Linked DNA regions of Drosophila melanogaster. The protein of the gene in region 1 purifies or fractionates together with the protein of each later gene. This does not show direct contact. Each region holds a gene or a part of one and is shown on either strand. Other genes may lie near its edges. The genes, in order: Irp-1A and Cisd2.

Region 1 (6,025 bases):
TCTTGCGGATTCGACCAAAAACTAAACGTCCATTATCCGCACACACAAACACACGTGGACACACACGGCACACGGACACACACTAGCACTGGCCCACACACACACGCACACAGTCTACATTTTTACAGGTTTTCGCTGCCTCTTTCGGATGCAACATTGGCTACTGGGCCTGCGGCAATTCCCCATAAACAAATGACATAATCCAAAGCGACGCGACGCCACTGGGCACTATCCACAGGTCGAGGGAACCGAAGCACCCACCAGTCCAAGTGCGGTTGCCCAAAATAAAACCCTGTGCGATCCGAGATCTTTTCTTTTTTTTTGTGTTTTTTTTTTTTGGTGGGGAGGCGGAGGCGCGACTTTCCTGCTGCGTTGTTGCGTTTTTGCGCGGTTCTTCCAAGTGAATATCGAGCACTGGCTGCAGAGCTATTGGCCAACACACGATCTGTTGCTTATTTATGTTTTTCTTTTGCGAATTGGAATCAAAATCCTCTGGAGAAAAGTCCACGGGACGGACAAAAAAAGAAGCAGCGAACTATGTTAAGTTAACAGCGATATAACAGGGACTATTCGATTTTATTGCTGCCTTGTCGATGATTCACCAGCAGGCGTTAGGCATTTTTAGCAGGACTGGTTTGGCCATCGGCATTTCTGCTATCGATAACATCCAGAGCGCGCAATTTAAAATATTATAAAATATTTGAAATATTTTTTTTTTAATAATTATCATCTCACAGATGAATGTCAAATTTTATTTCCCAGCACATAATAACAATTAAAAGTCGCCTAGAAATGCATATGGAATATAAAAGTCAACGAACGCACTAACTAATCCAGCATTTTGCGTATCATATAGTTCAAAATGCCGCCATTCTTGTAGTACGTTATGTCCACCTCGGTGTCGAAACGCAACGTGGTCTCAAAGACATTGCCATCAGCATCGACCTGAATCCTCTGGCCCGGCTTCAGTTCGCCCTCGGGCAGGACAATGTTGTACACCTCCCTGCCACTCAGTTTCAGGGTATCGGCGCTCTGGCCAGGCAAGAACTGCAGCGGAATGATGCCCATGCCCACCAGATTTGAGCGGTGAATGCGCTCGTACGATTCAGCAATCACCGCCTTGATGCCCAGCAGAAATGGCCCCTTGGCGGCCCAATCACGTGAGCTGCCACTGCCGTAGTCCTTGCCTACGACCAGAACCAAAGGTGTTCCTTCGCTCGCATACCGTTCCGCCGCATCGAAGATGTCCATCTCCTCGCCACTGGGCACGTGCAGTGTGCTGGGTCCCGTCTTGGATGCCAGTTTATTGACCAGACGGATGTTGGCAAAGGTTCCGCGTGCCATCACCGCATCATTGCCACGTCTGGATCCATACGAATTAAAGTCGCGCGGCGTTAGACCCCTTTCCGACAAATAGCGCGCTGCCGGTGACTTTCGTGCAATGGATCCGGCTGGCGAGATATGATCGGTGGTCACTGAATCACCGAGAAGCAGCAGACAGCGAGCCTTCTCGATACCTTTAAGTTTGGGCAGCGCACGAGTCATACCCTCGAAGAACGGTGGTAGTTTGATGTATGTTGATATTTCACTCCATGGATACAACTTGCTATCCGACACCTCCAACGTTTGCCAGTCCCTGGATCCCAGTTGAATTTTGCCTGTGATAGCGGACACAGTTAGCCTAGAGCTGCGGAAAAATCTTAGTCAGCTAGCTATACTCACTGTACACCTCCTGGAACATGGCGGGAATGACGTGCTTATGCTCTACCTCCTGAATCTCACTGCGCGTTGGCCAGATATCGCGCAGGAACACCTCCTTGCCGTTGGAATCCACGCCCAGCGGTTCGATCTCGAAATCAATATCCACACGGCCGGCAATCGCGTAGGCAATCACCAGCAGCGGACTGGCCAGATAATTGGCCCTAGTATTGGGATGGATGCGACCCTCGAAATTGCGATTGCCCGACAGGACGCCACAGCAAACCAGTCCGTTCTTCTCGATGGTGTTCACTACGTTCTCATCGAGCGGGCCCGAGTTGCCAATGCAGGTCATACAGCCATAGCCCACAATGTCGAAGCCCAGCTGCTCCAGATAGGGAATCACACCGGATTCCCTCAGATAGTAGGTAACCACGCCAGATCCTGGTGACAATGAGGTCTTGATATACGGCAAAATACTCAAGCCCTTCTGCACGGCATTCTTGGCCAGCAGACCAGCGCCCAACATCACCGAGGGATTCGAAGTGTTCGTGCACGAGGTGATGGCGGCAATCACAACAGATCCATGACCTATCTTATAGCTCTTCCCATCGTCCCATTGGAATTCACCACTTGCAGCCAATGCACTCGGTGGTATGGCGAATCCCTTGAAGCCGACAGGACTTATGAGGCACGACTTGAAGTCTTCGCACATGCTGGAAACTGAAACGCGATCGTGCGGTCGCTTGGGCCCCGAAACCGAGGTCACCACGGTGGATAAGTCCAAAGTTACAGACTGCAGGGTAAAAAAGTGATTCGTTAGTATGTCTTTGCATTGGAAAAACAGAATCTCACTTACCTCCGTGTATTGGGGATCCTGATCCACAAGGGAATAGTCACGAAGTTGTCGAGTGGCCTTCAAATACTTCCGGATAATATCGATTTTCTTCTCGGAGCGATCTAATGATCCACATCCATGGATATCAAGTAATAAATTTAGATAATTTTTAAGATTGACTCACTGGTTTGGCGCATGTAACTCAGCGTGTTTTCATCGATTGGGAAGTAACCCACAGTGGCTCCATATTCCGGACACATGTTGCTGATGGTGGCGCGATCCGCGATGCTGAGCTCTGCCACTCCGGGGCCGTAAAACTCCACGAACTTGCCGACGACACCAAGCTGACGCAAATGCTTGGTAATGGTCAGCACCAGATCGGTGGATGTGGCCAGAGGGCCCAGTTTGCCCTCCAGCCTGTAGCCAATCACCTCTGGCAACAGCATGGAAATGGACTGGCCCAACATTACGGCCTCCGCCTCGATACCGCCAACACCCCAGCCGAGAACACCTAATCCATTGATCATTGTAGTGTGGGAGTCAGTGCCCACAACGCTATCCGGATAAAGGATCTTAGATCCGTCCGCTGAACTGTCGCTTTCGAAAACCACTCGGGCCAGATACTCCAGGTTAACCTGGTGCACAATGCCAGAGCCGGGTGGCACAATTAGCATATTGTCAAAAGCGCGAGCTCCCCATTTGAGGAAGGTGAATCGTTCCTTGTTGCGCTGGAACTCTAGTGACTCGTTCTTGGTCAATGCGTCCGAGGAGCGAACGAAATCCACCTGAACGGAATGGTCGATGACCAGGTCGGCAGGGCAGATGGGATTGATTTTCTCAGGATTGCCGCCCAGCTCGCGGACAGCATCCCGCATGGCAGCAAAATCCACGACGGCGGGAACGCCAGTAAAGTCCTGAAAGCAGGGAATATCTTAAGAAGTCACATACAAACATAATCTATGTGATGCAATAATCCACACCTGCAATATAACACGAGCTGGCTTGAAGGAGACTTCCACATCGCTGGTTTCCTGCTTCAGCGATGGAGTCCATCCCAGGATGCTCTGCACATCCTTCTCCAGCACATGAAAGTTGTCACAGTTGCGCACCGCTGATTCCAGCAGAACGCGAATGGAAAAGGGCAGTGACTCTGTGGGGGGTTAATAATATTCATAAAGATAACAACAATAATGATAACGAACAACAATAACGATTACCAACCATATTTGCTGTCGATGGAGGGCAGATCAAAATACTTGTAGACGTTGCCGTCCTGGGTGAATGACTCCTGGAACTGGGCAAAGGGATTGGCGCCTGCAAGGAAGACAGGATTAGCGTACAGATCAAATACTCCTTTTTCCAATTAAATCCCACCGGAGCCGGACATTGTGGAAAAATTAAACAGAAAACCAAGCAATGTGATATAGAGATGAGCGCGTGAGGAACCGCTACCAGGCAAAACTTGCTCATCACTAACGCAAACATTATATTATCGATAACTGAACATGAAAACAAACCGGTACACAGTAAAAAATATTTATTTATTACTTAAAATGAAACATTTGTAAATTATAGTGGAATAATTTATCATTTTTGTGATTCGAAAATAATATTGGATATAATATTGGATTGATTGCTTTTTTATTTTAGTTCAAAATAAGGTATTTAAAATAACTTGTTTGCATGTCTTTAAACGCTTTTCCCTTCCTACATGCTAATTTCGTTAAATAAACTTAAATATTAATTATGTTTTCTGCGGTTTATTGCAATAGTTACATGGTAGGCTTATTGTAATGTCACGTAGTATAATTGGTATTTGTAATCTATATAAATAATATGTATAGGGGATTATCATCTAAAGCTGCGTCGGGATGCAAAGCCTGTTTTATGGCGCAAGCAATTTGGCAGCGGGGATAACAAGTCTGTGATGGACGTCTACAGGTAGATTCGTCGCAGGTCCTTCGGCGTGGTAATCGAGTTGCACTGCGGGCACAGCTTTCGCGCGCCGAGCGTCTGCAACCAACACTGCTCGCAGTGGACGTGCCAGCAGGACACGGAGATGGCGGGATTCTTGTAGTCGTCGATGCAGATCAGGCACTTGTACTTGCCCTGCGCCTGCTTTTCGTAGAGCCGCAGCTTGGCCTTCAGCGATTCGATGATCTGCTGCTGGTTTTGGGAGGTGGATCGCGTGGACCGCGACGTAGACGGCTCCTCGCTGGCTGGTGGAGCCTCCACGTTGCTTGTGCTGGCAGGCTCTTGCTCGGTGGCTTCGCTGGAATGGTTTGGCTTGGGCCCATCGCTGGAGGAGATAAGTCGGCGCACGTAGCTGGTAACATCCGCCTCGGAAACATTTCCCTCTGTGTCCTCGTTGACCAGTGGGATCACATCGCCCTCGCCATACTGCGTAGGACCATAGATGTGAGTGTCATCCTCGTCCACGTTGAGATCTTCGTCCTCGTCGTCCTGCGCCTGCTGACTGCCATTGTATTTGATTCTCTGGCCCAGGCCCAGGGCGGAATAGCCTCCTTGCACGAGAGTGGAGACGCGAATGCGCTTCTGTCCCGCCCACTCGTACTCTTCATATTCCTCGCTGTCCTCCGAGTCCTCACTCGAATGCCGCTCACCATTGGCCTGACCATTGCGGCGGCTCTGGCGCAGGCAATGATTAACATGCTCTTGGATGTTGGACTGCGGAAAGTTGTGGTTGCACACGGGACAGGTGGGTTGGCTCGATTCGGCAGCAGCTACGGACGGAGTTGCTGCAGCTGGAGGAGGAGCAGCTGCTACCGTAGGATTTACAGTTGCTGGTGGGGCAGGAGAAGCCGGACGCTTCCTGGTGCGCTGGCGCTGACGGGCCTGCCGATTGCGCTGCACCCGCTGGAACACGCTCCACGGTTGTCTGCCCCCCGATACCGAACCGGATTCCTCGGACGCGGTTGCTCCGCTAGTTGGGGTCGGTGGAGTGACAGCGCTAATGGGATTGTGCAATCGCTCCATCTCCACTTGGCAGTGATCGGCCACCTGACTGCGCTTGATCTTCACGTCGCATGTGGGACAGATCACGTCGTCGTCGCTGTTTCTGCTCAAGTGCTGGGCGAAGTTCTCGCCGTTGGACACCGTGTCCGTAGCCATCGATTCCTCGGATCCACCGCGGACTCTTAAGGGTAAACGAAGTTAAAAGATTCTGTAGTCGGATTTTGTTTTGTTCGATAATCTCTGTCCAAGCCACGCGACGCCGATTTCTTACGTTCTCGTACGGTGGAAAACGGTCACACTGATTTCGTTATTTTTCGTGTCAGTGGAAGTGGTCATTGCGATATACATCGTAAAACCGTTACAAAAGCGCCAAGCACAGTGATTAATATGCTTAAGCAATAATTAAAATTTTATTCACTTAAAAATATCTTTATAATAATTGATTATTTGTTTGAATTCCGTGTTAATTAAAACTTCAAAGTTTGCATTTTGCATTCCAACAACTCTTTTGAC
Region 2 (3,896 bases), 6.5 Mb from region 1:
CAAGAGCGAGGAGACCAAGAAGCTGGTCACCCAGTACTTCTCCTGGTCCGGCACCGACAAGGACGGTCGCAAGTTCAACCAGGGCAAGATCTTCAAGTAATCATCTCTGCCTAGCCCAGCTCCGCTCAAAGCAGCAGCCGCCCTCATTTAGACCAACAACAACAACAGCAGCAGTAACAATAAAGTTTGAGATTTAAAATGCAGGAAGAGCACAATGCCCATTTCTTAAGTTCCAACTGATAAGTACACTAAAGATATCCAATATCTGTCGTGCTGCCTCCCACGTTTGGCGGAATCGTGTGTCTCGCCTCCTGCATTTTGTACTGGAGAATTTGTTTGTAACCGCCTAAGCATAACACAGCATGATATTGTCAACGGAACAGCCGCCTGCAGTCAGAAAATATTTATAAAAAATAAAAGGTTTTCTATTAATAACAGCACGGTTTTCTCTCACACGTGTGTGTATGTGTGTGTGTGGTTTATTTGGTTGTTGGTAAAGGTTAGGTCTGGCATTTATTAGTAATTAGAATTAAGCATATCGATTTGAATTTATGTTTGGGCAATTTTATTGGCTCCTTTTAACTTAATCCATCAATATCATCAATTATTGCTTACAATTACAAGGGTTCAAACAGCTTCGGCCACTACTATTGGTTTTAAAAGCAAACTGGAGCTCAGCGAGAGGAAATGCTAGAACGTTTGTGTATCGATGCACCGCCGCAATCTACTTCTTGATGACAATTGGTCCGACGTTGTCTCCAGTCTGCTTGTTGTGCTCGCCATGACTGCCATCGCAGTAGGGCCACTGCGAATAGAGGATTCAATTGAAAATTTTGTTCACAATATTTCAGAGGTTAGAATGCACTCACGTTCTTGGTCTTCCAGCAGCGACAGAAGGCCGCCTTCTCCGCAATATCCTCCACGTCGATCATGTCCACCACCTTGGGCTCGTTCTTGCGGATGTGGTTGTTGCAGCGTCCGCTGTTTTTGGCCGCGCAGCTGGCCCGTGCCGCCGGACAGTAGGCCAGGTAGGCGGTGTAGCCGAGTCCGGCCACCACCACGGTGGGTGGGATCAGGGCCAACCAATCCTTGACTGCAAACGAAACCAGGTTAATACGGAATGCAGTGCATTTTAAGCTTTATAACTAGATATTTTGGTCGATCAGCCGTAACCGGCACAAGGTCGTTCCCTACACACATATTGGGTTATAAACGCACCAAGATATGCGCATATATGTTTATAGGTATACCCATGTTGGTATGCCTGTATTATGCGTCTATCTAGTTGCCTATCTGCGAGACAAACTTGCTCCAATTATAAATTTCTTGGCGAGCTCAGCAGTTGTTGCATAATCGCTGCAACTTTTTTGCCTGGAAGTGCACACACTGCACTTCCAATTCCCGTTAGCAGCTCCGCAATATCACGCCACATTTGCACCTTAGTAGTCCATTTAGTTGGCCCCCCTAGATGCTGCGTCATTATCGTGGATTTGGGTTTATGTGGGGCGCCCTTTGAAGGCAAATCAAATTCCAATGGGCAAAACCACGCTCATTGCCCAAACTTACAGGAGAGCTTAAACCAGCCGCCGATGCTGTCGGGAACCGGCAGACTTGACAAGTAATTGGGCAGCGAGGACTTCACCAGATGTGATATGGGCTCCATTTCGAAACGCCTTTTTTATTTAACTGGCTATTAAATTCGGAAAACTTGTTTTTGTGTTGCTATCGGTTAGCGGTGCTAGCAAATCGATAAGCCAGTCCTATCGGTATCGCAGTGCTAGGGTCACACTGCATTTTCGACGATAGGCAGTATTACAGATTCGTGTGTAGTCATCGATAGCATTCTGTTTTGTTTACGAATTATTGATTGAAATCAATAAATTGCAGTTTAGAATGTCTGCCGGGGTACAAGAGCGCCTGCAACTGAGCCGCATGCCGCTGGACACGTGGTCGAAGCGGGAGCAGCTCATCCTGGCGTCGGCGGTCTCCTGCAGCGGCGACCAGAACTGGATCACGGTGAGCCGCACGCTGAAGACGATCTGCGGCAATGGCAGCAGTAACCGACCGGCGGACTGGTTCTCGCAGAAGAACTGTGCCATGCAGTACGGCAATCTGCTGGAGAGCGTGGAGGCCACCAAGCGCAAGAAGCGCAGCAGCGAAAGCAGTGCCGGCGTCTCCTCGCCGGCCACCGTGGAGACGCCCACAGAATTGCTGCTCCGTCGGCTCACGGAGGAGCGTCAGGCGGAGATCAAGGCGCAGATGCGTCAGGATCAGGAGACTTACCGACGCATCCAGCGGGAGATTGAGTCGCTGCAATCGGACGCGGTGACCGAGCAGGAGCTGCAGGACATGTGGCTGGAGATCGAGAAGGAGCAGGAGGCGCGCCGCATCGAGGAGATGAAGCTGGAGAATCGCATGCGGGAGCGCGAGCAGCGCAAGAAGGACCTGGCCAGCAACTGGCGAAACAGCAGTCTAGCCGTCAAGCGTTCCAACCAAGCTGCCGACACGACTTCCGTCGATATGGACGTGGAGGACATAAACACCAGTGGCAATGGCAAACAGCAGACGGGTCCTTCGCCTCTACTCACATCTCTCCTGAAATCGCCCACAGGCAATGCACCTGCAACGCCCACCCCAGGAGGAGCTGCACCAGCAGCCGGAGGAACTGGCAGCGTGGCCAGGGCTACGGCGCCAACCATCACCTCGCTGCTGACCAGCGGTCCAAGCTCAGCTGTTGCCAATCAGCCAGTCATCACCATGAAGAGCCCCACAGATGCGGCGTTTATGTCCCGACCTATTACCGGACCTCCGGCCAGTGAGGCTTCTACTACGCCCACACTCGAACGGAGTCCCTCGCAGGCGGCACCCACACTCTCCATGCTGCTAGAGAAGAACATGGCTGCGGCGAAGGCCAACGAAAGCGGAAGCTTGGTAAAGCCAGAGGGGTCAGGAAACCAGGAGCAGGGTGTAGACGAAGCCACTTCTTCTGCAGCTGGCACAGCAGACTCCGACGAGGCGGATCCCAACGAAGCGCAGCTGCTGGAAGTCTTCAAAAACATTGATCAAATAATAGATGACATCGACATTGATATGGCCAGTGTCATTGACGATGAGATTCTGAAAAATGTGGATGACGTCGTAGCCTCGCCATCAAACGATAAAGCCGAAGTTATTGACTTTGAGGACAAGCTGGACGCTTTGAAGCGGGAGCAAAGTAAAAGTTCCCCAGCCAGTGATAAACCAAAATCTGTGGAGCTAGTAATTGGATCCAGCGATGACTCCAACGACAATATACCCCTGGCTGCCGTGGCCTCCCAGGAGAGTAAGGATCGTGGTCAGTCCGGTGGTGAATCTACTAGGGGCACCGAGGACGCAGAGTCCGAGCCGTTGACCAGCGAGGTGGCGGTGGAGGAGATTGGTGAGACCATTACCATTATCAGCACTTCAAGTGAGGATACTGCAGGATCGCCACCCACGAAAATGGAGGAAGATGGGGCCACTGATTCCCTTCCGAAGAAGGAGGATGCCGCGGAAGACAAATCCGAACAGGAAAGTAGCTCCCAAGGACAAAATAAGGCAGGAGGAAGCACGGACGAGCCGGAACTAATAGATCACCAAGCCACTAGGGAAGCACAAAGCAAGTCAGGCAAGGACACAGCGGGAAAGCCAGTAACAATGCAAGAAAAGACGACCACTCAGTCCGCTCCGGTTCCTGTGGATCTGCACGACACAGACGAGGAGTCGTCTTCGTTGACGGACAGCAGCAAGCACGATGACCATCCAAGGAGTGCAAAAGCTAAGCCCCCGGCATTGAAGCTGGCTCTGGATGACTCCAAGTCGGAACTGGAGCTGAGTGGCACACCTCAGCCACCGTCGGCGCCAGCTCGAACGCCTTT

Evidence for each region.
Region 2: the proteins of Irp-1A (region 1) and Cisd2 purify together in Drosophila melanogaster (affinity purification with western blotting; one study listed by BioGRID). This does not show direct contact.

Annotation. Positions count from the first base shown.
Region 1 is NT_033777.3:22,720,602-22,726,626, forward strand, and holds Irp-1A (iron regulatory protein 1A), read right to left. Parts: upstream 3,987-6,025; 5' UTR 3,924-3,986; coding exon 3,911-3,923; exon of another isoform or gene 3,851-3,910; coding exon 3,758-3,850; exon of another isoform or gene 3,747-3,757; intron 3,687-3,746; coding exon 3,517-3,686; intron 3,451-3,516; coding exon 2,721-3,450; intron 2,659-2,720; coding exon 2,558-2,658; intron 2,495-2,557; coding exon 1,723-2,494; intron 1,659-1,722; coding exon 829-1,658; 3' UTR 719-828; downstream 1-718. Other genes in the region: RNF220 (ring finger protein 220), read right to left, coding at 4,472-5,668.
Region 2 is NT_033777.3:29,221,677-29,225,572, forward strand, and holds Cisd2 (CDGSH iron sulfur domain 2), read right to left. Parts: upstream 1,753-3,896; 5' UTR 1,664-1,752; coding exon 1,567-1,663; intron 1,094-1,566; coding exon 870-1,093; intron 806-869; coding exon 725-805; 3' UTR 541-724; downstream 1-540. Other genes in the region: eEF1gamma (eukaryotic translation elongation factor 1 gamma), read left to right, coding at 1-100; Brd8 (bromodomain containing 8), read left to right, coding at 1,894-3,896.